Macaca fascicularis: one gene and its partners. The protein of the gene in region 7 binds, or shares a complex with, the protein of the main gene of each other region. Links are inferred from orthologs where the notes say so. Each region holds a gene or a part of one and is shown on either strand. Other genes may lie near its edges. The genes, in order: TAF12, TAF1D, GTF2B, TAF11, TAF4, transcription initiation factor TFIID subunit 13 and TBP.

Region 1 (4,263 bases), on a different chromosome or scaffold from region 7:
CTACAGGCGCCCGCCACCTCGCCCGGCTATTTTTTTGTATTTTTTAGTAGAGACGGGGTTTCACCGTGTTAGCCGGGATCGTCTCTCGATCTCCTGACCTCGTGATCTGCCCGTCTCGGCCTCCCAAAGTGCTGGGATTACAGGCTTGAGCCACCGCGCCCGGCCCAGGCAAAGTATTTAACCTCTCTAAACCTATTTCATTATCTGTACAACGAGACTGACAATATCTAACTTGTGGGGCTGTGATAATTAAATCATAGAATACTCAAAAGTACCTAAGCTGTGCCTGGTTAGTCTGAGTAGGTTTCAGAAAAAGATATTAATATTGAAGTAAGTGACTGGTGCAAGTCTCCCCACCATTCTTATCCAAAAGCAGCCATCCCTAGTAAATGTTTGCACTAAAAATGCAGGACACACTTATTTATGGCTTTCCAAACAGCTTATTAAATAAATAAATAAATAACACTGAGCTTTATTTAAAGGTTCCAGCCAGGTGCAGTGGCTCATGCCTATAATCCCAACATTCTGGGATATCAAGGTGGGAGAATCACTTGAGGACAAGAATTCAACACCAGCCTAGGCAACACAGCCAAACACCGTCTCTACAAAAAAACTTAAAAATTAGCTGGGTGTAGTGGCTCATACCTGTAGTCCCAGCTACCCAGGAGGCTGAGGCAGGAGGAGTGCTTGAGCTCAAGAATATAGGTTGCAGTGAGCTATGATGATGCCACTGCACTCCAATATGGGCAACAAAACAAGACCCTGTCTCAAAAATATAAAAATAAAAATAAAGGTTTCCTTACTATTAAGTGACATTTACTGTATCAATGTCAATGCAGTAATAACACTCAAAGTATCAGAAACTGTAAAAATTTCCAGTTTTTACTGGAAATAAAAACTGGGCCAGGCGTGGTGGCTCATGTCTATAATCCCAGCACTTCGGGAGGCTGAGGTGGGCAGATCACTTTAGGTCAGGAGTTCGAAACCAGCCTGGCCAACATGGTAAAACCCTGTCTCTACTAAAAATACAAAAATTAGCTGGGCATTGTAGCACACACCTGTAATTCCAGCTACTTGAGAGGCTGAGGCAGGAGAATCTTTTGAACCGGGGAAGCAGAGATTGCAGTGAGCTGAGATCGTGCCACTGCACGCCAGCCTGGGTGACTCTGTCTCAAAAAAAGAAAACTGGAAGCGGGGGGAAGTGACTCATGCCTGCAATCCCAGCACTCTGGGAGACCAAGGTGGGAGGATCACTTGAGCCTAGGAGTTTGAGACCAGCCTGGGCAACATAGTGAGATCCTGTTTCTACAAAAAATTTAAAAATTAGCAGGGTGTGGAGGCACATGCCTGTAGTTCCAGCTACTCAGGAGGTATATATAGGTGGGAAGATTGCTTGAGCCTAGGAGGTTGACGTGCATGGTGCCAAGATTGAGCCACTGCACTTCAGCCTGGGCAACAGAGAGAGAACCTGTCTCAAAAAAAAAAAAAAAAAAAAAAAAAAAAAAAAAAAAAATTCCCTCCTGAGTTTGAAGATAAAGCAAAGATTCTGGAAGCATTTAAGGAACATTAACCAAGCATCTCATTTGCTACGCACAGAAGGGTACTGTATTAAAATTATGATCTAACCATTGCCTCACTGTAATCCTAAACCTCTTTGAACCTTAGCCTCCTTAAATGTAAAATAGGAGTTTTTAAAAGATGATCTTTTGGGACTCTTCCATCACTGACATTCTTTTACTTGAGATGCAGAGATCTGTGCTCATTCAGGGTTGAGTGGAATGGGATTTAAAGCACTTATCAAGTATATAACTGAGTTCCAACTGTTTTCAACTTCACATCTGATTCCCAAGAATGAAGCAGAAAATGAAGATGTTTGCATGTGGGCTTCCTAGATTGAGTATCTAACACAAGAAAAGCCTGCCAAGAGCCAAGCAGGCAGTGCGAAGGAGAAGTTGTCTTCCCCTGAATACGTCCTTTATCTCTCTGGGTTCAGGGAATACTGTGGAAAAAAAAATGGATCACTAAATATTTTCCAAACCCTTTCCCTTTACTTTCTAGGCTGATCTCACATCCATGGTCCCTTAGATCCAAGGCTTTTAGGAGCTTGGGTCCTCACCGCCCTGTTCTGAGACTCAGGTACTCGGAGTCTCAAAGCCCGGATCCCGTCCCCAAAGAAGCCCCAGTCTTCACTGCCCGCTTCTGTTCCCTTCCAAACTCAAGTTTTCTCTGTCTGCTTCTGCCCCTCAGGAACCTGAGTCTTCGCTGCCCCGTTTCTGAATCCTTAGGAGGCCGGGTCTTCACTGTCCCGCTTCTGCCTCTTAGAAGCCCAAGTCCTCACCGCTCCACTTTTACCTCTCCGGAGCCCGTGTCTTCACACCCCGTTCCTTTCCGACCCTCTCCTCGTAGGAGTGCGGGTCCTCATAATCCTGCTCCTCTCAGACCACTTTCCCTCAGATGCCGGAGAACTCAGATCCGTCCCCGTTCCCTAAGTCCCGTCTTGGAGCCCAGGTCCCCACAGCCGCGTCTTCTCCGAGCCTGATCCTCTGTCAGTCCCTTCCCAAGAGCCTGAATCCTCACAGCCCCGTCTCGTCCACAACCTGGTCCTTCGAACACTGACCTACTGTAGATCTGGGTCCTGACTCCCTCCTCCCGCTCTTGTTCCTCAACTGCCAGGGCCCAAGACTCACAGGCAGCAGCGTCTATCTCCCCATGATATGCGGAGACTGCCCCAGAGAAGCGTTCGTCTCAGCAGCCGGTCCGACTGCGCGGCCCTCCCCGACTACTTCCGGCACCGCTCCCCGCCTCCAACCCGGAAACGCGCGGCTCTTCCGGCCGGCGGGCGCGCGCCTCGCTTGCGCAGGCGCAGACTGCCCTCCGACACGTGGTGGCGATCTTGAGCTGTGTGTAGCTGTAGCCTGCAGCTTGCGCTTTTAACTGCTTGTAGTTGAGTGGCAGCATGAGCGAGCTCTGCGTATTCCACCCCGGCGTTAAGAATCCTTCACTAGCTTTTCTTCCCGACTCTGCTTATTTATCCATCGGTAGCATGACGGGTAATTGACGCCCTCGGATGGCTTTGAGGTCGCCATTTTTGGTTGGTGCCTTTGTCATGGTGTCAGGACCAGGATATCATCTGGGACACATTACCCCACAGGTATCCTGTTGAACCTCAACGAGGAAGTTGGCAACACAGGAACCGGGAGATGAGACAGATCGGTTGGTTGTGCCTGTGAACTGGCAATTCAGTAATAACAATTGACTGCTGACTGTTTGCCAGGAATTGTGCTAATCGGCTTACCTCCGTTACGCCATTTAATCAGTTAGAGGAGACCTGTGAGAGATTAAGCAAAATTCTAGCTAATAAGTGCAGAGCCTCAGCTTGAACTCAGACCTCACTACTAAGCCAAAGCCTATCCTGTAGCATTCTCTACAGGACAGTTTTTTGCTGTCAAATGCTTGGTGAGAATTGCTTTTATGTGGCTCACGCCTGTGATCCCAGCACTTTGGGAGGCCGAGGCGGGTGGATCACGAGGTCAGGAGTTCAAGACCAGCCTTGCCAAGATGGTGAAACCCCGTCTCTACTAAAAATACAAAACAATTAGCCGGGCGTGGTGGCACGCGTCTGTAATCGCTACTCCGGAGGCTGAAGCAGAGAACTGCTTAAACCTGGAGGGGCGGAGGTTGCAGTGAGCCGAGATCGCGCCACTGCACTCCGGCCTGGGTGACAGAGCGAGACTCTGTCTCAAAAAAAAAAAGAGAGAACTGTTATTTTTTACTGTATGCTGGAATGTTAGGTATGCAAGTCAGACCCAGTTCCAGCATCTGTAAGGTTCACAGTAAAATGGAGAAGAACCCACAAACACACCAAAAAATGTATAAAGAGCTGTGGGCCGGGCGCGGTGGCTCAAGCCTGTAATCCCAGCACTTTGGGAGGCCGAGACGGGCGGATCACAAGGTCAGGAGATTGAGACCATCCTGGCGAACACGGTGAAACCCCGTCTCTACTAAAAATACATAAAAAAACTAGCCGGGCGAGGTGGTGGGCGCCTGTAATCCCAGCTACTCGGGAGGCTGAGGCAGGAGAATGGCATAAACCCGGGAGGCGGAGCTTGCAGTGAGCTGAGATCCGGCCACTGCACTCCAGCCTGGGCTACAGAGCGAGACTCCATCTCAAAAAAAAAAAAAAGCTGTGACAGGCCAGTGTGAGCCACAGTATCTGCCAGCAGAAATTAGGAAAGGTGCCCAGATTGGTGCAGCATCCTGCCC
Region 2 (4,242 bases), on a different chromosome or scaffold from region 7:
TACCACTTTTCCCCTTCTTTTTGGACAAGGGACGCTGCATTTACATTTTGCATTGAGCCTCACAAATTACAGAGCTAGGCTTGCTGCTGAATATGGCAGTGAGGGACATGCCATACCAGTCCTGGAGCTTAGTCACTGCCCAGCCCCTGTGGATCAAATGCAGTGTCAGACTTTTTATCCCCGAAATTGTCCAATCTATGGAGCAAAGGAGGGTAAAGAGACCAGATTACTTTTAAGGCACGCGCTATCCTAAAATGATGTAAACTATAAAATAAGATTAGACAGCTTTACTGGTTTTTGCGGTGTATCATATGAAAACAGAAGTTTGAAACCAGAAAAATCAAACCAGTTCAATCCTTTTAAAAATTTCTTTGGGAGGCCGGTGGCTCACGCCTGTAATCCCAGCACTTTGGGAGGCCGAGGCGGGTGGATCACCTGAGGTCAGGAGTTCGAGACCAGCCTGACCAACATGGAGAAACCCCGTGTCTCCTAAAAGTACAAAAAAATTAGCAGGGCATGGTGGCACATGCCTGTAATCTCAGCTACTTGGGAGGCTGAGGCAGGAGAATCGCTTGAACCCGGGAAGCGGAGCTTGCGGTGAGCCAAGATCGCGCCATTGCACTCCAGCCTGGGCAACAAGAGCGAAACTCGGTCTCAAAAAAACCCCAAAAAACCGAAAAACAAAAAAAAAAAACAAAAAACTTTCGAAGAAAAAAACCCCACCAAAACTAAACTAGTTTACACAGCTTAATCTTAACTCAGGAACTGGTCAAGGAACTAATGGTGGGGGGCGGGGGGGATGTAGGAGGAAACTGAGGAAAAAGAAATCCTCCACAGGTCTCACTTGTGACGTGTTAGCCAATTCCTGGGAGGCAGAAAGGGTGAGCTCCCGAAACAGGTGCAAAGGTGGGGAGGAGACCTGGGCGTGCTACGGCATAACACTGGCGTCCAGCACAAAGGTTACAAACTTCGAGTAACCTTCCCGAATATTTTCACACACAAGGGTTTTGAAGGCAAAAGTAGACACAGGATGACAAAACACTCATTCACACATCCCACCCGTCACCCTCACCACATACTCGGGACCAGGTTTAGAAAGCCGGGAGACAGCTCAGCAAACGCGAGACCACCGGAAACGACCCGGGCTGAGAGGCTGTTTCCTCGCAGTTCTCATCCACTCACAATTGGCCGCACATTTTCTTTTTGTTATTTGCCGAAATGTTCTTGGCTATTCCACTTACCGAATCGGTCACGCAAGCAAAACACCAGAATCCCGATCTCCGCCTACGCCAACCCCGCCTCCTCAGAGTAAGCGAGCTACAGCTCCGCCCACGTTAGTCGCTCCTCCCTGCGCGGCGAGAAAAATGGCGCCCCCGCGTCGCGACTCCTCCCACCGCTCGCCTTCTTCCCGGGAGCTAAATTGTATCGCGAGATTTCTGCCTGACTATTACTTGGGCCGCGGGGATATCCCACCCTTTTCTTCCGCGCGGTTGGAGGACATCGGCTAGTTTTCCGGAGTTGGAGGACTGAAATCGGGAGGGTGGTGTGTGCAAATCTCCAGGACTCACGCACCAGGCCAGTCGCAGGTTTTGGCCCGAGGCCTGGGTTACGGGCAGCAAGTGCGCGGTTGGGGCCGGTGTGAGGCGGTTTTAGGTAGGTTGCCAAGAGGGCAAGGCCGTCTGGGCTTGTTGGGCAGGGGAGGCATTGCATATCTGGGGTTTCGGCCCCTGCGTTGTTCCGGAGGATTGAGCCTCGGAAGTCGGGCCGAGAGGGTGAAGGGATCACGGTTGCAGGCCACTCCGCGCCACGCGGCTGGTATGAGGCCCACAAACGTGGTTGTAGTGTGGGCGGGCTTCATTATATCTTGAGATGGAGGTGTTAAAACGTGTTGCAGACAAGTTTAACCTTCTTAACGTAATTTAAATGATTTAACCTTCATATGTGAGGTACCCATTGATAGCGCCGGTTTCCTGGAGGTTAGGCGCTGCCCGGAGAGACGCGCTGGTGGTCACAGAATTAGCTCCGGGTAAAGCGCCGCTTTCTGCCCACGTGGCCTCTAAGAATTGCAGAATTCCAGCGGATGCATCGACACCCAAGTAGGAGTGTCTTCTAAACACTAAGAAAAAAGTGATTCTTGAGCTAGCTTTATTTTGATAATCCCTACTTTAAAAAAAAATTAACCACAGGTATACCATTAATGCATGGGGCCAAATTTTTGTTGAATTCCGTTTTTGAGCATTCGATATATAATGACTTCGTAGAATCCTGTACTTAAGCTAATAAGACGTACTACCAGAAAATTACCACAGGGGTCCATTGGGCATTTAACAAATCTGAGCTCTTGGTAACCTTATCGTTTTATATTTTAAATGTTTTGCTAGTTCATCCTAGGATTTATATGCAATGACTCATGTTAGGTCCCAAGAAGCTACAGAATGAGACAAGAGATTGACTAAGGCAAGTACAATAGTGAAATAAGTAGTTATCCTTCATTTTTGTTGCCATGCCTATTTTTTTTTTTTTTTTTTTTTTTTTCTGAGACAGGGTCTTGTTCTGTCGTCCAGGCTGGGGTGCAGTGGTGCAATCTCGGCTCACTGCAACCTCCACCTCTGCTCAAGCGATCCTCCCGAGTGGCTGGGAGCACAGGCACGGGTCACCACACCTAGCCAGTATCTTAAGAATTTTTTGTAGAGACAAGGGTCTCCTTGTGTGCTGAGGCTCACTACATACAACTTCCACCTCCCAGGCTCAGGTATTCACCTACCTCAGCCTCCTGACCACAGGCGCGCGCCACTAGCCCGGCTAATTTTTGTATTTTTTGTAGAGACGGAGTTTCACCACGTTGCCCAGGTTGGTCTTGAGCTCCTGGGCTCGAGCGATCCGCCCGCCTCGACCTCCCAAAGTGCTGTGTTACACAGGCCTGAGCCACCCAGACCAACCTGTTTTTTCTTTTAGCTCACAAGAAGGAATCTTTTTTTTCTTCTTTTTTTGGCATGTTGTATACTCTACCATGGGGATGAAAACACAAAGAATTATGATAGTTTATTGAAAAAGGTTGAGAATTCAGAACTTGTCAGTTTCCACCAATAATGGCAAAGATACAGTATGACAAAGTTCAGTTACTTAAATGAATCTAGGAATGAAGAATCTAGGAATTATAATGGAGAGGTGATCAGGGTCTGTTGATTGGAGATCCTTTTCCTGGTTTATATAGGGCACATTTTGCCTTAGGAATTCCCTCTTTGATCTTGGAAAATGGTTTTTAATTTTACATTAATACTGTATTGGTAATTGCACGTTAGTAAGTGGCTAATGATAAAACTGTATTTTCTACTTATATTGAAAGATGCTTTTTTTGGAAGTGACAGTACTTTTTTGGAATCTTGTTCCATTGAATACATTTAGAGGGTAAAAACTGAAAGAACCTGTGAATAGAATTTCTGGATTTCTTTTTAAAGAAATTGATCTGAAATGGATAAGAAGGTTAACCCCGGCAAATGATTTTGCCTAAAATCAGTGGCATAGTCTGACCATGTTGAATATTATAGTAGATACTGTGTCAATATTTAGGGAAGCTTTGTCACATTTACTAAATTTCATAATTTCAGAAAACTGTTATAAAACAAAGCAATTGATGGATAAATCAGGAATAGATTCTACCGACCATGTGACATCTGATGCTATGGAACTTGCAAATCAAAGGTAAGTGGGTTTTTACTGGAGAACTGAGTGGATTCAATCATATTTATTGTATCTGAATTATGAGAAATTATTTTATATAATGAGTGACAGTAAAGATGATTTTCAGGAATTGGGAAAGAAGGAAAACCAGATTTCACTGACCTTCCAGGTTTATCTAGTTAATGTAGATTGATAATAGCATTGCAAATACTTTAAATTCAAAATGTGAATATATTATAATGGGACACATTCTTCAAGAAAAAAATGTATTCTTTGGGTCATATTAGCATCTCTTCCAGACTACCTCTTCCTGTTTCTGTCTGGTAGGCTGTGTTTGTTTTACTCACTCTTAGCAGTGAACCAAACCATACAGCCTTTGTGGAGCTCATACACCATACAGCCTTTGTGGAGCCATACGTTATCTTAAAAGATACATAGTTTTTTGCTAAGCTGAGCACAGTGGTGCATGCCATTAGTCCTAGCTAGCTACTTGGGAGGCTGAGTCAGGAGCATCCCTGGAGTTCCAGGAGTTTGAGGTTGCAGTGAGCTGTGATTGCACCA
Region 3 (4,254 bases), on a different chromosome or scaffold from region 7:
TCAAAAAATAATAGATAATAAATGAAATGCTCTTTAGTCTGTGAGTATACCAGTAAGCCTAACAAAGAATAAAAAAGAACCAGGGATATGCAGATTCTACAACATGAGATTTTAACATCCAGAAATTAAAATCTATTGATCTGCTGCTGCTATTAATTTACCAGCATCATCTTCTCTGCTCAGTAAGTTCACTGAGAAAATCACATACTTAGAACATTTTAATGTCTGTCAAGCTGGTGCCTTTCAAAAGGTCCAAGCTCATCACTTCTTGTTTAATAGACATATTAATAAATCTCACATATGAATCCTTTCAAACTGGACACTAAATACGATGTGGATGTTAACAATGGTTCTCAAAAGCTTTTGCTCTTTCCATGAATTTATTAAAATAAAAAACTATGTATATATAAGTAATGGAAATAAAGCTTTATTAGCTGCAATGATTTGCATTATTTATAATTATGTATAAGTTAAATGTAACATATAATTATAACAAAAACTTTAGTTTTGAAAAATGTTTTATTCAAGAATTACATAATTTCAAATATCTTCCAAAATACAGTTTCCTAGATTGCTACAAAAGAAATTTGATAAGAAATTTAAATCATTAAATATGTTTCACTGGTATATATACATACAGAATGCCAAGCAATAGTATTCAGCCCTGGAATGCGTACCATGTCTGTTGTTTTTCCTCATGAAAGGCTCAACCCAGCATTTTGTATAGGCTATGTACAACAGGCAAAGTTCTGTATTCAAGAATTTGACGTTAGCTGCCTCAATTTATAGCTGTGGTAGTTTGTCCACTGGGGTGTCAAATTTGAAGTCTGTAGGAAACAGATCCGGGGCTCGAGGATAGATAAGTCTATAGGACTGTCTGATTGTAACATCAGCAACACCAGCAATATCGCCAATTTCTAAAAGACAAAAATCAAAACATTAACCGTCATTTCCATCCTACCTCCTTTCTACTACCTGCATTGTCATTTGTGAGATATGATTATACAGTATAAAGCGCCAAACTTAAAAACAAAACCAGAAGTGATTTCTAAAAACTGATAATGGAAATACATACTAAAAGGTAGAAAGCAGCAGCTAGGCCAGACACAGTGGCTCACGCCTGTAATCCCAGCACTTGGGGAGGCCGAGTTGGGCAGATCACTAGGTCAGGAAATCAAGACCAGCCTGGCCAACATGGTGAAACCCCATCTCTACTAAAAATACAAAAAATTAGCCAGGCGTGGTGGCGGGCGCCTGTAGTCCCAGCTACTCAGGAGGCTGAGGCAGGAGAATTGCTTGAACCCGGGAGGGGGAGGTTGCAGTGAGCCGAGATCGTGCTACTGCACTCCAGCCTGGTGACAGAGCAAGATTCCATCTCTAAATAAATAAATAAATAAATGTTTAAAAATCCATTTTAATAAAGCATTCATAATGCTTAACCAAATATTGACTCAAAAAAAAAAAAAGCGGGAGCTAAAGTCAGTAACCAACAACAATAAAAATGATAGCAGTAGTTACTACCTTACAGAGCTGTCAATGTTTTAAGGAGTTTAATATAAAATATATGAACAGGGTTCAGGACTTAGTATTAGGAGTGTTATCTTATTATACTGGGTATCGTATTTACAACTGACTGCTCCTTTTTCTTTATAAATCTTTCTGATGATCACAAAGTACTCCACAAATACATTCTTGTAAAGAAATTCACTTTTTATTTCTGTGTTTGAAAGTTCCCATGCAAAATCTCCTCTAGCTAACTTCTGTTAAGAGGTCCCTATTAAAAACAAAATGTTACACTGTAAATATTGTTCTACAGTCTTTTTTTCTACTTAATACATCGAGGTCAAACAGCTACTTATAGCATACGGAGATGCTTTTCACTGATACAAGCACATAAGCAAATATTATTAGCTCAAACGAACATTTCTAGTCTATTACAAAATCCTAATAGATCCACTTTTACCCTTTAAAGTCACTGTCCCTTTTTTCCTTTCAAAGTCATTAAAAGAAATACCAAAGGACTGCCACTACAATATTTGGTTAAGTATTATGAATGCTTTATTAAAATGGATTTTTAAACATCACTTATATATTTAAAGAAGGAATCTTGCTCTGTCACCCAGGCTGGAGTGCAACGGCAAGATCTCGGCTCACTACAACTTCTGCCTCCCTGGTTCAAGCGATTCTCCTGTCTCAGTCTCCTGAGTAGCTGAGGCACCTGCCACCACGCCCAGCTAATTTCTGTATTTTTAGTAGAGGCGGGGTTTCACCATGCTGCCCAGGCTGGTCTCAAACTCCTCACCTCAGGTGATCCACCTGCCTCGGCCTCCCAAAGTGCTGGGATTACAGGCATGAGCCACCATGCCTGGCCTAAACATCTTTTAATACAAACTCATTTTATCACCTTTTCACAGTTGATTCAAATCAGTGAGGTTTTAGTGATTTTCACTGTGAATGCCTGCCATCACTGTACAATTAGCTAATTTTAAATTTCCTTATCTCACACTGCATTACATTATTCTACATCTAAATACCAATAAATGGCAACTATTTGAATATCAACTGCCTGCTGTGCAGGGAAGAGAAGGACCTTACATTTGAAGACGACTTTTCATATAAAGCTAAAAAGCAGAAAGCACCAAGATTAATGTTTCCATGTTGTTCATTAGAATAAACTTTACAACTAGAAATGTACCTCAAGGACAAACTGCCTAACTGCAACTTCTCAATTTTACTAAAAGACTCAAAATTTCCTTAAAACTAAGTGAAGGCCAAAGGGAATGGATAATGGCTCCTTTAAATAACTAATGATTGGCTTCCTCTTTCTAATTATTCCTATCATTTATTATTTTTTCAACATATAGCCTAAGCTGAAGGCTGTTGTGAATAGAGTATTACAAAGTTATTGAGGCCAGTAATTCACTAACTCACTTTCTGTTTGTTTTTTGAGACAGTCCTGTTCTGTCTCCCAGGCTGGAGTACAGTGGTGCAATCTAGACTCACAGCAACCTCTGCCTCCCAGGTTCAAGAGATTCTCATGTCTCAGCCTCCCAAGTAGCTGGGACTACAGGTGTGCACTACCATGCTGGGCTGATTTTTGTGTTTTTAGTAGAGACAGGCTTTTTGCCATGTTGGCCAGGGTGGTCTTCAACTCCTGGCCTCAAGCAATCCACTCACCTTGGCCTCCCCCAAACTGCTGGGATTACTTGTGAGCCACCACGCCCTGCCACCTTTTTTTTTTTTTTGAAAAAGAGCCTCACTCCATCAACCCAGGCTGGAGGGCAGTGGCATGATCTCAGCTCACTATAACCTCTGCCTCCTGGGTTCAAGTGATTCTCCTGCCTCAGCCTCCCTACTAGATGGGATTACAGATGTGTGCCACCACACCTGACTAATTTTTTTGTATTTTTAGTAGAGACAGGGTTTTGCCATGTTGGCCAGGAGGCTGGTCACCGCACCTAGTTTATGAATTTCTTTACATGCATTTGTTTATGAATAACTTCTATAATCCTCAAAGATTTAGAAAGGAGTAGTCACTTCTAAATTTAAAAGGGAGTTAGTGGGCCATGCGTGGTGGCTTGTGCCTATAATCCCAGCACACTGGGAGGCAGAGGCAGGCGAATCACATAAGGCCAGGAGTTCGAGACAAGCCTGCCCAACGTGGTGAAACCCCATCTCTACTAAAAATACAAATATTAGCTGGGCGTGGTGGCACGTGGCTGTAGTCCCAGTTACTCAGAAAGCTGAGGCACGAGAATAGCTTAAACCCAGGAGGTGGAAGCTGCAGTGAGCTGAGATTGTGCCACTGCACTCCAGCCTGGGCAACAGAGGGAGACCGTTTCAAAAAAAAAAAGGAAAAAGGAAAAGAAATTCACTTAATACTTCTGGTGAAAGTTTTCCTACAACACTAAATTTAAACATGGTTTTAGAAGGCTGAACCACTTATGTCTACTTACTTCAGAATTTGTATTAAGAAACTGTAAAATACTGTACAAGATGGGAAAAAACCAACCTTAAGAGAATGTTAAAGGCTGATGGCCAACACATATTTTACAGCGTGTCTATCTGCAGGATCCCATGCCAAGCAGTGAGAAACAAAGCATGCCTCCCTGACCCCTAAGATTTAAAAACGTAAGTTTGGGGAGGAAAAGAGTATGATCAAGAGGATATATTTAGGGAGAAAAAAGAACTTGTAAGAATAAAAGATGTACAAACTAAAATAATTCAAATGGGAAAAAAATTAGGTTTACAGGG
Region 4 (4,038 bases), about 140 Mb from region 7:
CTTTTCTCCACGAGCGCGTCACTTCCGGGATCCGGCGTCACGCGTCACCGCGCCCCCGCGCCCCGCCCCCTAGCTCACCTAGCTGGGCGGGGCTCCGCGGACCAGCGCAGGTGGATTTTGCTGTGCCGAGACAGGCCTCACGGGTTATGGGGACAGCGCCTTGTGGGTCCCCATTATATAGGTGGAAAGGGACAAACAGGCCCACCTGTACGCGCCTCCCGAAGTGCGCTCCTTCCCTAAACGTTTTGGGAGCTCCTGGGACAGGAAATACGGCAATTCGTCCAGGCAGCGCAGAAACAAAGAGATAAATATGGTAACGCGCACCTACATTTCCAAGGACATTCTTTAAGCACGCATAAATTAAATATGTAATAGGTGCTGGGACCTAGTCATACCCAGGTGAATAAAACGCCCTCCCCCTCGTATCTCTATGAGGGAAGAGAAGAAAATTTTAAAATAGAAATATCCTCACCACTTCATCCTCCCAGTACATGAACTAGTTCGTTAAAGTGAAACGTTCGAAGGAGACACCTTCCTCTCTTTAGGCTTTCCTCTTAGTTTTGGTAAGATTAACCAAAATGATAGAAAAGTGTCAGACTTGTAGAAACAAACCTCAATCTTGAATACTTGCGAACTGAAAAAAAATCATTTAATTGGATAGAAACTATGTGTGTTTTGTTCCCTGGTACTAGCACTGTTTCTAAATCGAAGTACGCAGTCAATAGTTGTGGATGAATAAATGAATTGGATAAATTCTGCTCAAGCTAGATGACTTTTTGTTGTTAAGGTGCTTGCTGAATGGAGCGGAAATGCTAGCAATTCCACGTACACACAGACCCGCGGTTTCGGGCCAGTTGAAATACACAAGGTTGAGTCTTGCCTGAAAGTTTACCAATCCCGGGTAGCCTCATTCCACGACACCGCCATACAACGGAACTGAGTTTTCTCCCGATCCCCCAACTTTACTCTGAGGGGTTAACGAAGGGATTAACTGGTATTGAATTTTTAGACAGGCGAAAAGGAAAAAGTTATTTAGTAAACAAAACTGCGCTCCTTCACAAGTGCTGGTTTCCTAGCTAGGAGGATCCATAGTCTGAGCTCTTTACGTCCAATTTTCCCGCTTCCCACTGTCGCCAAACCAAAGTTAAAATGAGTCCTCTAGTCCTCTACGCGCGCCTCAAAATGACCCCTCAGGAGAGCGGTAGGGGTGATGTCATCGCTGCGCGACGACAGGAAGTAAGATACTGTCCTGTGCAGCTCGGGGTTCCGAGCTTCTGCCTCAGACATCGCCGCGATCTCCTCTCCCCTCCAATCCTATCCGTGATGGACGATGCCCGCGAGTCGCCCTCCGACAAAGGTGGAGAGACAGGGGAGTCGGATGAGACGGCCGCTGCGTCCGGGGACCCGGGGGCTACCGACACGGATGGAATCCCAGAGGAAACTGACGGAGACGCAGATGCGGACTTGAAAGAAGCTGCAGCGGAGGAAGGCGAGGTAGGAAGAGATGTATCGATGAGGCTGAAGGAATACCCAGAGATCGTGTTACTGGGTGCTTGCCGGGCTTCTGGTTAGTCCCTCCCAAGTTACGAGAACTCGAACTCACCAGAACTCCCTCCAGATCGTTAATCTTGAGGGGGAAGAGAGCGGACGACCAAACAGAACTCCAGTGCTGGTTCCGTTCCAGAGGCTCAAGCACTGCGTTAATATTTTTAGTCTTGTCAAGGGATTAAAGCTACTTCTAAGGGAGTTTTAATAGCCTATTGGCTTTAGTGGTGAGGAAACTGGGATCCAGTGTCACACTGAGACGCAGTGCAAGAGCTAAAACCCAGGATTCGTAGCACCCCTTTCACCGCAATATGGTTCGTCTTAGATGTTAAGACAACTTTGTTTCTTTATAGGAAGGAGGGTCGATCAAACCTGTCAAAGGGAGATAGACTTTTATAAAAGTGTCGCCCGGGCTGTAGTACAATGGCGCGATCTCTGGCTCACTGCAACCTCCGCCTCCCGGGTTCACGCGATTCTCTTGCTTCAGCCTCCCAAGTAGCTGGGATTACAGGCTCACACCACCATGCCCGGCTAATTTTTGTATTTTTATTAGAGACGGGGTTTTACCATGTTGGCCAGGCTGGTCTCGAACCCCTGACCTCGTGATCCGTCCGCCTCGGCCTCCCAAAGTGCTGGGATTACAGGTGTGAGCCACAGCACCCGGTGATCAGGGACCCATCAGTTGGGTCTGGTGTTTTTATGCTACAGAGAGTTCAGCAGTGTTGCCTAGCTGAACATTGGTCAGGACCAGAAACTCATCGTTCTCTGGATTACATTTCTGGAAGTAGAATCTTGGGGTCTTAGAGCTAGAAGGGATTTAAGAGATCGTGGGGTGAACAGTAGATTAGATGGAAATAGCCTTTCAGTGTATAAAGTTGCATAAAAATATATAAAGTAAGAACTTTTAGAAAAAGAGAAAATTTGGCCGGGTGCAGTGGCTCACGCCTGTAATCTTTGGGAGGCGGAGGTGGGTGGATCGCCTGAGGTCAGGAGATCCCCAATATGGGGAAACCCTGTCTCTACTAAAAATACAAAAATTAGCTGGGCATGGTGGCAGGCGCCTGTAATCCCGGCTACTTAGGAGGCTGAGGCACAAGAATCGCTTGAACCTGGGAGGCAGAGGTTGCAGTGAGCCGAGATCGCACCACTGCACACCAGCTTGGGTGCCAGAGTGAAACTCCGTCTCGAAAAAAAGAAAAAGAGAACATTTGACAAAAGTATTTTAAGGCAGGTTTCTTTTTTTGTTTTTGTTTTTGTTTTTGAGACTGAGTACTCGCTCTGTCACCCAGGCTGGAATGTGCAGTGGCGCGATCTCGGCTCACTGCAAGCTCCTTTAAGGCAGTTTTTGTTGGTTTGTTGAGACAAGGTCTCACTCTGTCACCCAGCCTGGAGTGCAGTGGCACAGTCTCTGCCTCCTGGGCTCAAGCAACCCTCTTATCTCAGCCTCCGCAGTAACTGGGATTGCAAGCATACTGCACCACGCTCAGCTGAAGTTTTTGTATTGTTTTGTTTTGTTTTGTTTCGTTTTTGAGACGGAGTCTCGCTCTGTTGCCCAGGCTGGAGTGCAATGGCGCAATCTCGGCCTACTGCAACCTCCGCCTCCCAGGCTCAAGTGATTCTCCTGCCTCAGCCTCCCCAGTAACTGGGATTACAGGCACGTGCCACTGTGCCCAGCTAATTTTTGTATTTTTAGTAGAGCCAAGGTTTCACCAAGTTGCGCAGGCTGGTCTTGAACTCCTGACGTCATGATCCATCTGCCTCAGCCTCCCAAAGTTCTGGGATTATAGGCATGAGCCACCGCACCTGGCCAGCTAAAGGTTTTTTAAATATTGTTTTGGTAGAGACAAGGTCTCATTATATTGCCCAGTCTGGTCTCCAACTCACTGGGCTGAAGTAATCCTTCCGCCTCAGCCTCCCAAAGTGCTAAGATTACAGGTGGGAGCCACCATGCCTGGCCAAGAAGGAAACTTTAAAACAGGTGTCAAGGACAGCAAGGATTTGAATAATTAGCTTGGTACACTAGAGAGCTCACTACATATATAAATTTGCACCGAACAGAGGATAAAATTATGTTGTTTCTGAAACACTTTTAAAAATCAATCATGTACTAGACCATGAAGAAAAATATGAATTCTTAAAAGTAGATATCATAACAGGCCACATCTTGTTAATGCAATGCATTAAACTTGAAATTAACTACAAAAAGCTTCTCCCCCACCAAAAAAGAACCCCCTGGAAATTTTAAACTATTTTTTAAATAGCCTTTAGACTAAAGAAATTAACAGAACACTTTATCAAATGATATGGGATTTGGCCAAAGCTTTATTTAAAGAAAAATGTATAGCCTTACATATTTTTATTAACAACCAGAAGATACTGCAAATAAGCACCTGACTCAAGAGACCAGATAAAGGGCCTAGTGGAGTAGGTCACACCTACAGACCTAGCTACCTGGCAGGCTGACACGGGAGGATCACTTGAGGCTGCAGTGAG
Region 5 (4,166 bases), on a different chromosome or scaffold from region 7:
TCCAACAGCTTGTCACAACGGGCGTCTCAGCAACCCCGGAGAAGTGGCTTCTCAGCCCTCTTCCTCCCTGGAGCACTGCAGCCTAGCGGTCTCCCAGACAGACTCTCCCTACCCCCGCCCTGTCCAGTCTGACCACCAGCCCTGAACTTCACATACTCGGACAGGAAAACCTTTCACTTCTGAAGATGCTGCAAACCTCTCAAAGTGACCAATAGCTCCCTTCAGAGAGGGGACACAGAAAAGACCCACGCTCTCCTCGAAGTTCCTACTACTGCTGCCACCGAGCTGCTACAACTGCATGGCGCGCGTCACCACAGGCCGGGGAGGAGCTCCCCTGCCCAGCACCCACCAAGGCGGCTGGGGAGGGATGGGGAGCCCCAGACAAAAGCAGCCTAGCGTGCAATGCTGGTCAGGCAATCTTTCCCGTCAAACTTGAGGGGCCCTGAAGAGTCGCAGAGACAGCAGACTAGACCAAGAGCGTGAGTACTGCCAGGCAGAAGGGGCGTCTGAGCCCAAGGCATCCGCAGCACAGCCAGTATTACCCCGAGACCCCTGCACGGAGTGAGAGCATCTGCTGCCACCGCCCTCCCACTGCCCTCCCGAGGGGGCAGCAACCAGACTAGCTGGGCGCTCTTTCCTTTAGGCACCAACGCAGCGCTGGAAGAGACGGTGACACACACGGTGCTGAAACCCTACTCCAGAGCATGGCTCTCAGCAAGGCTGCGCGCCTGGAGGACTCTCGCAGGGTGCGCCCGACATCTCTGCCTTCCTGGTGGCCAACAGGGAAGCCCAAGCCTTCCATCCCGACTTCCCGAGCCTCGAGGAGGGGGTGTCGTGCCCCCGTCCTCGCCTGGAGACTGGGGAGGCTCAAGCCCAGGGTCACAAAGGGGTAGAAAGGCTAAGTGGGGACACAGGCCACACGCCTAACTGCAGAACTGAGCAGGGGACAGTTGCTGCCACTCGCACCTCCAGGTTCTGCCCTCAGCTCTGCAGACCCCATCGCCTGGCCCAGGGAGCCCCTGCGCTGAGCCTTCCAACCGGGGCAGGGGCACACAGGGCGGGAGCAGGTAAGGACCGCTCCAGTAGGAGTCCTGGCTGAGCCACTCCGAAACAGACCAGCCCCAGCCACAGGCAGCCACCGCGGACGTCTGGAACAGCGACAGGGACGCAGACTATGCCGACTCCCTCTGGCTCACTCGCAGGCAGCCACCCGGGCTGGCCCCGCACCTGGGTAGAGGCTGCCCCTCGGCCTGCTCCAGCCACGGGCCTACGGGACAGATGACCTTAGCATTCCACCAGCGGAGAACTTCCTGGAACTGGCAGCTGGCGCTGCTGGGACCCGCCCTTCCCTCCCGCCCCGTGCGGCCACTCACCTGGGGGCAGCTGGAAGTTCTGGATGTTGGTCGGGTTCTGAGGCGGCTGCGGCAGGCGGGGGGCCAGCACGGTGGGCGTCAGGGTGGCCCGGATCCCGCTGGTGGTGGCCGTGGGCGTCCGGGGCAGGCTCTGGGTCACTGCGCCGGCCGCGCCTTTGGGCAGCCCGGTGGGGGTCCCGGGGGCGGGCGGTGGGACGGCGGCGGGGCTGGGCAGCGCCCCTTGCATAGTTGGCCCGATGACCATGCTGGCAGCCGTGCTGGCCGGGCCGCTGGCCGCCAGGGTCTGCGCCGCCGGGGGCGCCGCCTGCACCACCGTCTTGGGCGACTCGGCCTTGACCCCCGGCGCTGGCGCTGCAGCCGCCGCGCCAGGCCCGGGCTGGCCGCTGACCCCCGCGGGGCCCCCGGCGGCCGGGGCGGGGGCGGGGGCTGCCCCGGCGCTGCCCCCGTTCTGGGCTGCGGCAGGGGGCGGCGCAGCGGGCGCGGCGGTCGGGGGTCCGGCAGGGTGGCCGGGCGGCCGCGCCAGGGTGGCGGGCGCGGGGGGTGGCGGGGGCGGGGCGGCGGCGGGGGCGGCGGGCGCGGGGGCGGCGGGGGGCGAGGGCGCGGCGGGCGCGGGGGGCGCGGCGGCGCCCACGAAGGGGGGCGTCTGGATGACAGTGCCGGGGGCGGCGGGCTTGGGCAGCGGCAGCAGCGCGGCGGGCCCGTTGTTGACCAGGCTGACAGCAGGTGCGGCGGCGTGGTGCGAGTTCAGCAGCGCGGCGCTCCCATTCAAAGTTTGCGCGGCGCCGGGGCCGGCGGGCTTGCCAGGGCCAGGGCCGGGGCCGGGCCCGGGCCCGGGGCCGGGGCCGGGGCCGGCGCGGGCGGCCAGCGCGGTGGGGCCGGCGGGCTTGGCGGGGCCGGCGGGGGCGGGCTCGGGCCCCGCGGCGACGGCGGCGGCGGCGGGCACCGGGGCGCAGGCCCCCGCGCTGCCCTCGGGCGGCGGCCTCAGCTTCGCGGCAGGCGGCGCGGGCCCTGCGGGGACAAGGGGGCGGCGCGGTGAGGGGGGGCCCGGGCGCCGCGGCCCCCCGCCCCCCGGCCGCGCTCTACCTGCGGGGGGCGGCTCCGGCGCCGCTCCGGGCGCGCCCTCGGCGGGGGCGGCCGGCCCTGCGCCCGCGGCTCCGGCCGGGCTGCCGCTCACAACATGGTTCCCGAGCGCGCCGGCGGCCGCGGCCCGCACCTCGGGCGTGCGCGGCGCGAGGTGGTGGTGGTGGGCCGCGCTGGCCGCCAGCTGCGACTCGAGCGAGCCCACCAGGTCGCTCACCACTTTCTCGTCCACCTCGCTGTTGAAGAAGACCTCGTCCAGCAGATCCGAGCCCGCCGCCATCTTTTTTCCTCGGCCGCCGCCGCCGCCGCCGCTCGGGCCGAGCGCGCCTGGGCGAGGAGGAGGTTCCGAGTGGGGCGGGCGCTGGGCGGGCGGGGGGCGGCGCGCGGCCGGCGGGGGGCGGGGGCGCGCGGCCGGGGGGCGGGGGCGCGGGGTGGCGCTCCTGCGCAGGCGCGGAGACCGCGGGCGCCCGGCGATTGGCTGCGGTGCGCGCTTAAAAGGCGCGGCCAATGGCTGCGAGCGCTAGAGGCCGGGGCGCGGGCGGTCGGCCTGGGCGCGGTAGCAGCGGCGGGAAGCGCGGGGGCTGGTGCTCGGGGACGCGGGAGCCGGGGCGGTGGCGGGCAGGGCGGGGCGGTGGCCGCCGGGCGGGGCGCGGGATGCGGGGACGGTGCGCCGGGCCGGGCCGAGGCGAGCGCGGGGCGGCGACGGGGCTTCGCTCTTTGTCTCCGCTCGCTCCAAAATGGCTGCGGCGGCGCTGACGGGAACGCCGGGCGGGCCGCCCTGTGCGGTAGCAGCGGAGGTGCAGGGCCCGTCCGAGGCCCGGGGAGCAGCGCGCGGGGATGCCGGGGCGCCGGCCGGGCAGCGCGCAGGCCCCGGAGTGGATGGGCCCGAGAAGCAGGCGGGGACGGGGACGGGGCTCTCGCAGCGCGCCCTGAGGACGGGGACCGGCGCCCGGCCCCTCCAAGCCGCCGCGGGGAAGGAAGCTGGGTCCGCCCCTGGGTAGCCGGTCCCGGGCGGTGGGGAGGGGTCCTGCGCGCACGGCTCTTCTCGCCCTCCAATCGTGACCACCCCTGGCCCTTCCCTCCATTTTTAATCAATAAACTAAGCCGCCCCGGGGTGACTGTACCCGCACCTAGCTGCCTTGGAGACGGGAGTGTCATTATAAGCCCGTAGGTAAGAGCACGGTGCCTGCCAGGCGCCAAACGAAGTTCCCGAGCTGGCAAATCTGGAAGTAGCTTTCTTTTTACGTTCTGCTGGGGGAGGGGAGTAAGTTACCTAAAATGTTCCCAAGCACCTTCTCTCTAGAAATACTTCAGTAAAAGTTCCAGTTCTCTCTTTCTGCGTGTTTTATTTTCCAACCAAAAGATGGTGTTATTGGACATTTCTAGTGGTTTTCCTTTCTCCCATTTCTTTCTAAGAGCCCAGAATAGGTTTCAGAGAGACGCTTCCTTGCCTCGGACCTCACTGGGGACAAGAGGCCGCAGGATCAGTCTTCGCAGCTGAAGACAGCGCCGCAATAAGCAGAGACCTCGGGACGATGAATGACGTTGCTGACATAGAAAATGATTTTTTTAATTGTTGTAGCAAAGGAGACTGCTAGTCTCAACAGCAGACCCGAACTGGACCCTTGTGCCTGTTCGAATTGCAGCCTCGCAAGGGAATGGACTGACTGAGACAGCTGGAATACGGGACTTCACCCCAGGCTTGTTTCTCGA
Region 6 (4,197 bases), on a different chromosome or scaffold from region 7:
TGGTGGCTCATGCCTGTAACCCCAGCAGTTTGGGAGGCTGAGGCAGGAGGATCACTTGAGGGTAGGAGTTTGAGACCAGCCTGGCCAACATGGTGTAACTAGTCTCTACTGAAAATACAAAAATTAGCTGGGTATGGCTGGTCATGGTGGCTCAGGCCTGTAATCCCAGCACTTTGGGAGGCCGAGTTAGGCAGATCATCTGGGTCATGAGTTTGAGACCACCCTGGCTGACATGGGGAAACCCGTTTCTACTAAAAATACAAAAAATTAGCTGGGGCTGGTGGCGAGACAGGGTCTCACTCTTCTATCACTGGGGCTAGAGTACAGTGGCATGATCACAGCTCACTGCAACCTTGAACTCCTGGGCACAAGTGATCCTCCCACCTCAGCCTCCTGAATAGCTGGGGCTATAGGTACACGCCACCATGCCCAGTTAATTGCAAAAAAAAAAAAAAGATATACTGACCCTGTAGTTTCAAGGGCATTTGGGAACTGCTCACATATAACCCCGCCTAAATAAACCATATTCATAAATCTGTGTTGCCTCATCTCTCAATACTTAGATATAACTTTACATAAAGGACCCAGGACTGGAGATGGAGAGCACATTCTCATGCTGTGTTCCAGGGCTTGGCCTGTACCATCAGTAGTAGCAGCAGCTCTCCCTTCCTCTTGTTGCCAAAAAGGGTCAAAAGCATCTACTGAGGGGGTAGGATGCAGAATCAATACATTATAATCTCCATGTCATTATTTATTTTGCTTATTTATTTATTTATTTTGGACACAGGGTCTGGTTCCGTCACCAAGGCTGGAGTGCAGTGGCGCAATCTGGGTTTACTGCAACCTCCACCTCCTGGGCCCAAGCCATCCTCTCACCTCAGCCTCCAGAGTAGCTGGAACTACAGGGGCGTGCCACCATGCCCTACTAATTTTTGTATTTTTTGTAGAGAGAGGGTTTCACTATGTCGCCCAGACTGGTCTTGACCTCCTGGGCTCAAGCGATCTGCTTGCCTTGACCTCCCAAAGTGCTGGGATTACAGACGTGAGCCACTGCATCTAGCCTCCATGTCACTCTAATGTCTTACACTATTCACCACCTTCTTCTTTTTTTTTGAGACAGAGTCTTGCTGTGTTACCCAGGCTGGAGTGCAGTGGCATAATCTTGGCTCACTGCAACTTCTCCCTCCTGAGTTCAAGCGAGCACGTCTGGCTAATTTTTGTATTTTTAGTAGAGATGGGGTTTCATCACATTGGCCAGGCTGGTCTCAAACTCCTGACCTCCAGTGATCCACCTGCCTCAGCCTCCCAAAGTGCTCGGATTACAGGCGTGAGCCACTACACCCAGCTGTTCACCACCTTCTTACTTTGTTCATAGCCTTAGTCCAAAGCCCAAGCCCCAACTCACTTGCTACTCTCCCTCAACACCTGGTGCAGGATCCATTAGTATCTGTGGCTTACAGTCAAAGAAGCCTCTCTTTCTACTGCTGCAAAGGCAAGAGGAAAACTAATGGAGGTATGTTCTTCTGCCCTAAATTAAAACACGAACTACATTTGCTCACCTAAAAAGCAATTTATACACAGACACACATACACACACATATAACTGGGGTTAGGATTGGTACTATCTGATTCAAAAGCTAAACAGAATTTGATAGGCTAGTCTGAGAATATTGTCACTACAGGGAAACATTCAAAGCAATAAATGTACTTGGAAAGGATATGTCCAAAAGTTTTCATCATCTATAACAAAATCATTGTCAAATACTACTTACATTCTTTAGAAAAAAGCCTCTTTCTTTTACCCTGTCCACCTTCTGCACCTCCTCCAATTTCTTCATTTTCTTCCTCAAACTAGAAAACGTATATATAGAAATGTCAAATAATTGCCTTGCATTTGATATTTTAATAATAACAATGTTTTTTCCTTTTCAACAGATAGGCCAGAAAGCCTAAAGGAAGCAGAAAAAAAAAAAAAAAAAAAAAAAAAAAACACAAAACCTTAGCACGTAAGCAGCCTAGGTATCGAGTCCAATTTCCAACTCATCCAAAAATGGCTTCTACAATGTTCCTAACAAATAATCCTACTGCTTCTACGTGTAAGAGTTACAATGACCATAGGTTTTATTTTTAAACAACTAAGGTGGCCTATTGCTACTGTTAAACAGTTGATACTGAATCAAAGTCTACCTTTGTAGACTTTCAATTAAGCAAAACTAATATTTACTAAGCATTTGCATATACGGTGCTAAAAACGTTCCTTAAGTAAGCCCGTAACCCTATTTTGTAACAAGAAAACTGATTGTCAAAGTTAAATAACTTGCTTAGAGAGAATGGAGATTTTGAAATCCAGGCTGTCTGACTTTCAATGCATTCTTTTCCCATTACTTCACAGTAAGTACAGTTTTGTTAACAATTGAACTGTTGGTTCATAGTGAGCGCTAATAGATGTTAGTTTTGACGTCTGATGATTCTGTAAGTGTTTCAGTGTCTGGCAAATAAAGATCAAAATCAAGGGGAAAGGGGTCACAAAACCTACTCTTTCTTCATGTCCTTCCCCACTTTCTAAAATGATCAATCCTTAGGGAGTGAAGTCCCCGAATTCTGTCGGCTGAATTGACTAAGGCAAGCAGATCCGATCCTGAACTCTGCCTCCGCTACTGAGCCCGAAGGAGTGAAGAAAAGAGAGGTTCTGGACACAGACGGTCACTCACGGTGGGGTCTTCTTCCTCATCTGCCATCCCACTAGCCCGCCAACCCACAGCGCCCCGCCGGCTGGTTCTCAGCGGGTTACGCTACTTCCGTCGCCTCACTTCCGGTGACGGGCGGGGCTGGAGCTGGGCCTAGCTGACTGAGGCCTGCGGAAGGACGGTGGTGCTTTCCGGCCTAGCGGCGGAAATGCGACAGTCTTTAGCGGAGGAGGCCGGAGCTCCTCCCTGTAACACTGAAGGAATTGAAAACTAACAAAGAAAAGGAAATCACGGGCTCCGTGGGATGTATCTCGTTGTCACCCTAAATTTGCTACTGCGCATTGAATCACGCCTTCCTGTTTGGGGACTGCGAAGCTATGGATCGTAGGAGGGCTAGCCAGCGGTCCTTTATCTGACATAAATGCTTTTAAATCATTTTAAAGAGTTGTGGTTCCACTGTTTCTAAGCACTATGTTAATTACTGGGGATACTGTGCTTCACCACAAATTTCCAAGAGATGGTGTCCCAAAACTAAGCATTTAAAATTTTGTGAAGGTTTGTTTTTGTGTGTGTGTGTTTTTTTTTTTTTTTTTTTTTTTTGAGACCAAGTCTCACTCTGTCGCCCAGGCTGGAGTGTGCGGTGGCGAAATCCCGGCCCACTGCAACGTCCGCCTATCGGGTTCAAGCGATTCTTCTGCCTCAGCCTCCCGAGTAGCTGGGATTACAGGCGTGCACCACCATGCCCGGCCTCATTTTTGGTTTTTTTTTTTTTTTTTTGAGACGCAGCCTCACTGTCCCCCAGGCTGGAGTGAAGTGGCACAATCCGGGTTCACTGCAGCTTAGACCTGCTGGGCTCAAGCCATCCTCCCACCTCAGCCTCCAAGTAGCTGGGATTACAGGCACACACCACCTATGCTCGGCTAATTTTTGTATTTTTAGTAGATATGGGGTTTCGCCACATCACCCAGGCTGGTCTGGAACTCTTGATCTCAAGCGATCTGCCCCCCTCGGCCTCCCAAAGTGCTGGGATTACAAGTGTGAGCCACCGTGTCCATTGGGGAAGGCTTTTGGTCGGAACAATGGTTGGGAAAACCACAGGCATTGGAAGGCCAGAGCTAGGGATATAAAATATGTGTCCTACAGTGTAACAGATGATGCTACATAAAGAAAATCCCGCAATACACACGATTTCTGAATGTCCTGCTGAACATTCGGTGAGTGAAAAGTAGTTATGTGAGGCTTGAACCTATCTTTGTTAATAAACACAAAGCGGCTGGGCGCGGTGGCTCAAGCCTGTAATCCCAGCACTTTGGGAGGCCGAGACGGGTGGATCACGAGGTCAGGAGATCGAGACCATCCTGGATAACACGGTGAAACCCCGTCTCTACTAAGAAATACAAAAAACTAGCCGGGCGAGGTGGCGGGCGCCTGTAGTCCCAGCTACTCGGGAGGCTGAGGCAGGAGAATGGCGTGAACCCGGGAGGCGGAGCTTGCAGTGAGCTGAGATCCG
Region 7 (3,500 bases):
TTAGCAAAAAAAAAAAAAAAAAAGGCAAAACCCTGCTTTCTCTTCTAATTATCTCTCAGTAAATAAGGATAAACGGAGCCATCTGGGTCCACTGACCCTTTACATTTCTCAGTGTTCTTACATCACTTAATAAATAACTTATACAAGGATAAAGATATACTAAAAAGCAACTCTATTAGAAGTTTTAATAAAAATTTAAACAAAAACCTACATTTTCATTATACATTTTTTCTGCTTATGAAAGTATATATACTTGGCCAGGCACAGTGGCTCACGCCTGTAATCCCAGCACTTTGGGAGGCTGAGGTGGGCGGATCACGAGGTCAGGAGATCGAGACCATCCTGGCTAACACGGTGAAACCCCGTCTCTACTAAAAATACAAAAAAATTAGCCGAGCATGGTGGCGGGAGCCTGTAGTCCCAGCTGCTCAGGAGGCTGAGGCAGGAGAATGGCGTGAACCCAGGAGGTGGAGTTTGCAGTGAGCTGAGATCACACCACTGCACTCCAACCTGGGCGACAGAGCGAGACTCCGTCTTAAATAAATAAATAAATAAATAAATAAATAAAGTACATATACTTGAAATGGGCAATGTCCTTTGAATGCAATTAACTGCGCAACAAGTGTCTTGCATGGACCTGGCAATCACCATCCCAAGAATATAGAGTCCAGATTTCAAATACATAGGTTCAAATACAATAGGTTATAGCTCACTGTTGCTTCTGGTTCTTTTTCTTATACTGTCAAAATGCAAAACTTTTGAAAACTTGATGGCTCATAATTTTGTTCAAAAGAGAATGGCAGTCTATGATACACAACCGTAAAGCCAATTAGGTTGATCCACACAATGTTTTCATTTCCATATCATCTCTTTCCTTCCAATCACCGTTGTATACACACCTGGCTTTAGCATTTGTCCACTGATGAACTATATCAAGTAGATTTTAGTACATCTATCACAACTTTCATCACATAATTGTTAAATGTATTCTTATATGTTTTCATTCATGAAATATTTGCCTTAATCCCTCTTAAGCCTACAAGACTGAGAGGGCACTGAATTACCACGCAGGAGGGTTCTTAGTAGAGAGCAGCTCAGGGACGTGGATGACTGGATGCTCTCGGGAGTATCAGAACAACAAAGGCACGGCAAGAAACAAACACCTGACTGTACTGTTTATACTTTATTATTTAAATCAGAAATGCAAACTTAAATTTTCCTGGGAGTCCGACAAGCATGCTGGACACATGGGAGCGGTACAGACAAGGGTGAGCTAAAAAGGGCTGTCTCTAAAATCACTAAAATTACTTTGTTTTTAAAATTGTGTGTGGGGTCAAACAAAATTGTAGAGGCAAGATTTAGGTCTTTGGGTAAAAGTCAGCATCCACGATTACACACCACTAAGTTCCAAAAATGATCAGAGATAGCTTATAAACAACAACCATATATGTAGCAAGGTGAATAAATGCAAATAGGAAATACTAGATCTAAAGGGAGTATGAAGGAGGAAGGTATCTGTACAAGAAAACTGAGGAGATGCAGAGACTGCAAGTAACCTTTTAATTTGGTCATAAGCTTTCTAACATGAAAAGCTGCACGCTTCTTATTGACGGGGATTATTTGGAAATATTTGTTGTTTTTTCAGGAAGATGAAATTATTTCCTATCCCTAATACCCTGTTACATATAGAACCCACTTCACTTAGGTAGAAAAATCCATTTAGGACAAGAACAGTCATCCTCATTTTGTGGGAAGGACACAGACCTTCAAAGATTCATATGCAGTCCCCACAGTAAAAATAAAAAACAAGAACTGCCAGAAATTATACTGATACTGTGACTAAAGACCTAAAATAGCATAAGGGAAAGAGACTACATAACATTGTGATTTGGCGATATCAGATACAGGGAAATGTCTATAATATAATAATAATGACAGTGAAAATCACATTAAATTTTATTGGCTCAGGTATATAAACACAAATGACCACATTCCTAAACCTGTTAAGAACCTTTTACTGAGGGCACTGACTAAGATGGCTTTGCTTCCCTTTCCCAAGTGTGAGATAAAGCAAATTTTGATACACAATTGCTGTTAGTGCCATTCCCTCCCTTAATAAAAGGATCCATCAGAAAACAGAGCAGGAACACAACTCAAAGGGACTCCTAAGTGGGAGGAAACATAAAACACCAAGTACTCACTGCAGCTGCGGTACAATCCCAGAACTCTCCGAAGCCGGAGTGGCAGGAGTGATGGGGGTCATGGGGGTCACGGGGGAGGGATACAGTGGAGTGGTGCCCGGCAAGGGTGCAGTTGTGAGAGTCTGTGAGTGGAAGAGCTGTGGTGCCTGGCCTGAGGTTCCCTGTGTTGTCTGCTGGGATGTTGACTGCTGAACGGCTGCAGCGGCCACTGCCTGTTGCTGCTGCTGCTGCTGCTGCTGCTGTTGTTGCTGTTGTTGCTGCTGCTGCTGCTGTTGTTGCTGCTGCTGCCTTTGTTGCTCTTCCAAAATAGACAGACTATTGGTGTTCTGAATAGGCTGTGGGGTCAGTCCAGTGCCATAAGGCATCATTGGACTAAAGATAGGGATTCCGGGAGTCATGGCACCCTGTGGAAAGCAAGGAGAAAAACAGGTTAGGCTGGCTGCTGCTGAGTGTTTGTGGAAGTTTCTTGGTGGAACAGCAGGTGAGATGTGCAAAGACAGACGCCCTCTGAGAATAATGGGGTTATTAATCTTTAATTACGGAAGAACCAGCTATTCTTATACACATTGCTTTCTTCTTTAATACCACACAGTGGATAAACATGAAGAAAAATGGATAAACTGAACTTTGGAAAAATTAAAAACTTCTGTTCTCTGAAAGACACCATTGAGAAAATTAAAAGGCAGGCCACAGATTGGGAAAAAAATACCTATAATACATACATCTGAGAAAGGACTGGTAAACAGAATAATAAAGAGCTCTGACAACTCCATAAAAAAAGATCAACAAATAAAATAATGAAAAAGGACAAAAGATGTGAAGGGCATATTACAAATGAAGATACAGGCATACCTCAGAGATACTATGGGTTAGGTTCCAGACCATCTCAATGAAGCAAGCAGCATGAATTTTTTGGTTTCCCAGTGTCTACAAAAGTTATGTTTACACTATAGTCTATTAAGTGTGCAATAGCATTATGTCTAATAATATGTATATACCTTAATTTTAAAATGCTTTATTGCTAAAAATGCTAACAATCCTGTGAGCCTGCAGCAAGTCATAATCTTTTTGCTGATAGAGGATCTTGCCTCGATGCTGACAGCTGCTGACTGATCAGGGTGGTAGCTGTGGCCATTTCTTAAAATAAGACTGACGAAGTTTGCCACAAGGACTGACTCTTCCTTTCACTGAGATGTCTCTGTAGCACACGACGCTGTTTGACAGCGTTTTACCCACGCTAGAACGTAGTTCAAAACTGGAGTCAGTCCTCTCAAACGCTGCTGCTGCTTTCTCAACTAC

What was found.
Region 1: TBP (region 7) and TAF12 share a complex: the UniProt entries of both Homo sapiens proteins name them as parts of the TFIID basal transcription factor complex. The link is inferred for Macaca fascicularis from reciprocal best matches to the Homo sapiens genes TBP and TAF12.
Region 2: TBP (region 7) and TAF1D share a complex: the UniProt entries of both Homo sapiens proteins name them as parts of the transcription factor SL1/TIF-IB complex. The link is inferred for Macaca fascicularis from reciprocal best matches to the Homo sapiens genes TBP and TAF1D.
Region 3: TBP (region 7) and GTF2B share a complex: the UniProt entries of both Homo sapiens proteins name them as parts of the TFIID-containing RNA polymerase II pre-initiation complex. The link is inferred for Macaca fascicularis from reciprocal best matches to the Homo sapiens genes TBP and GTF2B.
Region 4: TBP (region 7) and TAF11 share a complex: the UniProt entries of both Homo sapiens proteins name them as parts of the TFIID basal transcription factor complex. The link is inferred for Macaca fascicularis from reciprocal best matches to the Homo sapiens genes TBP and TAF11.
Region 5: TBP (region 7) and TAF4 share a complex: the UniProt entries of both Homo sapiens proteins name them as parts of the TFIID basal transcription factor complex. The link is inferred for Macaca fascicularis from reciprocal best matches to the Homo sapiens genes TBP and TAF4.
Region 6: TBP (region 7) and transcription initiation factor TFIID subunit 13 share a complex: the UniProt entries of both Homo sapiens proteins name them as parts of the TFIID basal transcription factor complex. The link is inferred for Macaca fascicularis from reciprocal best matches to the Homo sapiens genes TBP and TAF13.

Annotation. Positions count from the first base shown.
Region 1 is NC_088375.1:206,387,807-206,392,069, reverse strand, and holds the start of TAF12 (transcription initiation factor TFIID subunit 12), read right to left. Parts: upstream 2,801-4,263; 5' UTR 2,618-2,800; exon of another isoform or gene 2,353-2,617; intron 1-2,352. UniProt on the Homo sapiens protein: The TFIID basal transcription factor complex plays a major role in the initiation of RNA polymerase II (Pol II)-dependent transcription.
Region 2 is NC_088388.1:92,775,366-92,779,607, reverse strand, and holds the start of TAF1D (TATA box-binding protein-associated factor RNA polymerase I subunit D), read left to right. Parts: upstream 1-1,442; 5' UTR 1,443-1,653; intron 1,654-2,381; exon of another isoform or gene 2,382-2,457; intron 2,458-3,608; 5' UTR 3,609-3,634; coding exon 3,635-3,702; intron 3,703-4,242. UniProt on the Homo sapiens protein: Component of the transcription factor SL1/TIF-IB complex, which is involved in the assembly of the PIC (preinitiation complex) during RNA polymerase I-dependent transcription.
Region 3 is NC_088375.1:145,835,540-145,839,793, reverse strand, and holds the end of GTF2B (transcription initiation factor IIB), read right to left. Parts: intron 918-4,254; coding exon 784-917; 3' UTR 501-783; downstream 1-500. UniProt on the Homo sapiens protein: General transcription factor that plays a role in transcription initiation by RNA polymerase II (Pol II). Involved in the pre-initiation complex (PIC) formation and Pol II recruitment at promoter DNA.
Region 4 is NC_088378.1:136,805,552-136,809,589, forward strand, and holds the start of TAF11 (transcription initiation factor TFIID subunit 11), read left to right. Parts: upstream 1-1,238; 5' UTR 1,239-1,323; coding exon 1,324-1,494; intron 1,495-4,038. UniProt on the Homo sapiens protein: The TFIID basal transcription factor complex plays a major role in the initiation of RNA polymerase II (Pol II)-dependent transcription.
Region 5 is NC_088384.1:118,113,312-118,117,477, forward strand, and holds the start of TAF4 (transcription initiation factor TFIID subunit 4), read right to left. Parts: upstream 2,801-4,166; 5' UTR 2,734-2,800; coding exon 1,374-2,733; intron 1-1,373. UniProt on the Homo sapiens protein: The TFIID basal transcription factor complex plays a major role in the initiation of RNA polymerase II (Pol II)-dependent transcription.
Region 6 is NC_088375.1:125,372,382-125,376,578, reverse strand, and holds the start of transcription initiation factor TFIID subunit 13, read right to left. Parts: upstream 2,801-4,197; 5' UTR 2,739-2,800; coding exon 2,712-2,738; exon of another isoform or gene 2,538-2,711; coding exon of another isoform or gene 2,537-2,537; intron 1,950-2,536; exon of another isoform or gene 1,852-1,949; coding exon 1,773-1,851; intron 1-1,772. UniProt on the Homo sapiens protein: The TFIID basal transcription factor complex plays a major role in the initiation of RNA polymerase II (Pol II)-dependent transcription.
Region 7 is NC_088378.1:506,202-509,701, forward strand, and holds part of TBP (TATA-box-binding protein), read right to left. Parts: intron 2,606-3,500; coding exon 2,202-2,605; intron 1-2,201. UniProt on the Homo sapiens protein: The TFIID basal transcription factor complex plays a major role in the initiation of RNA polymerase II (Pol II)-dependent transcription.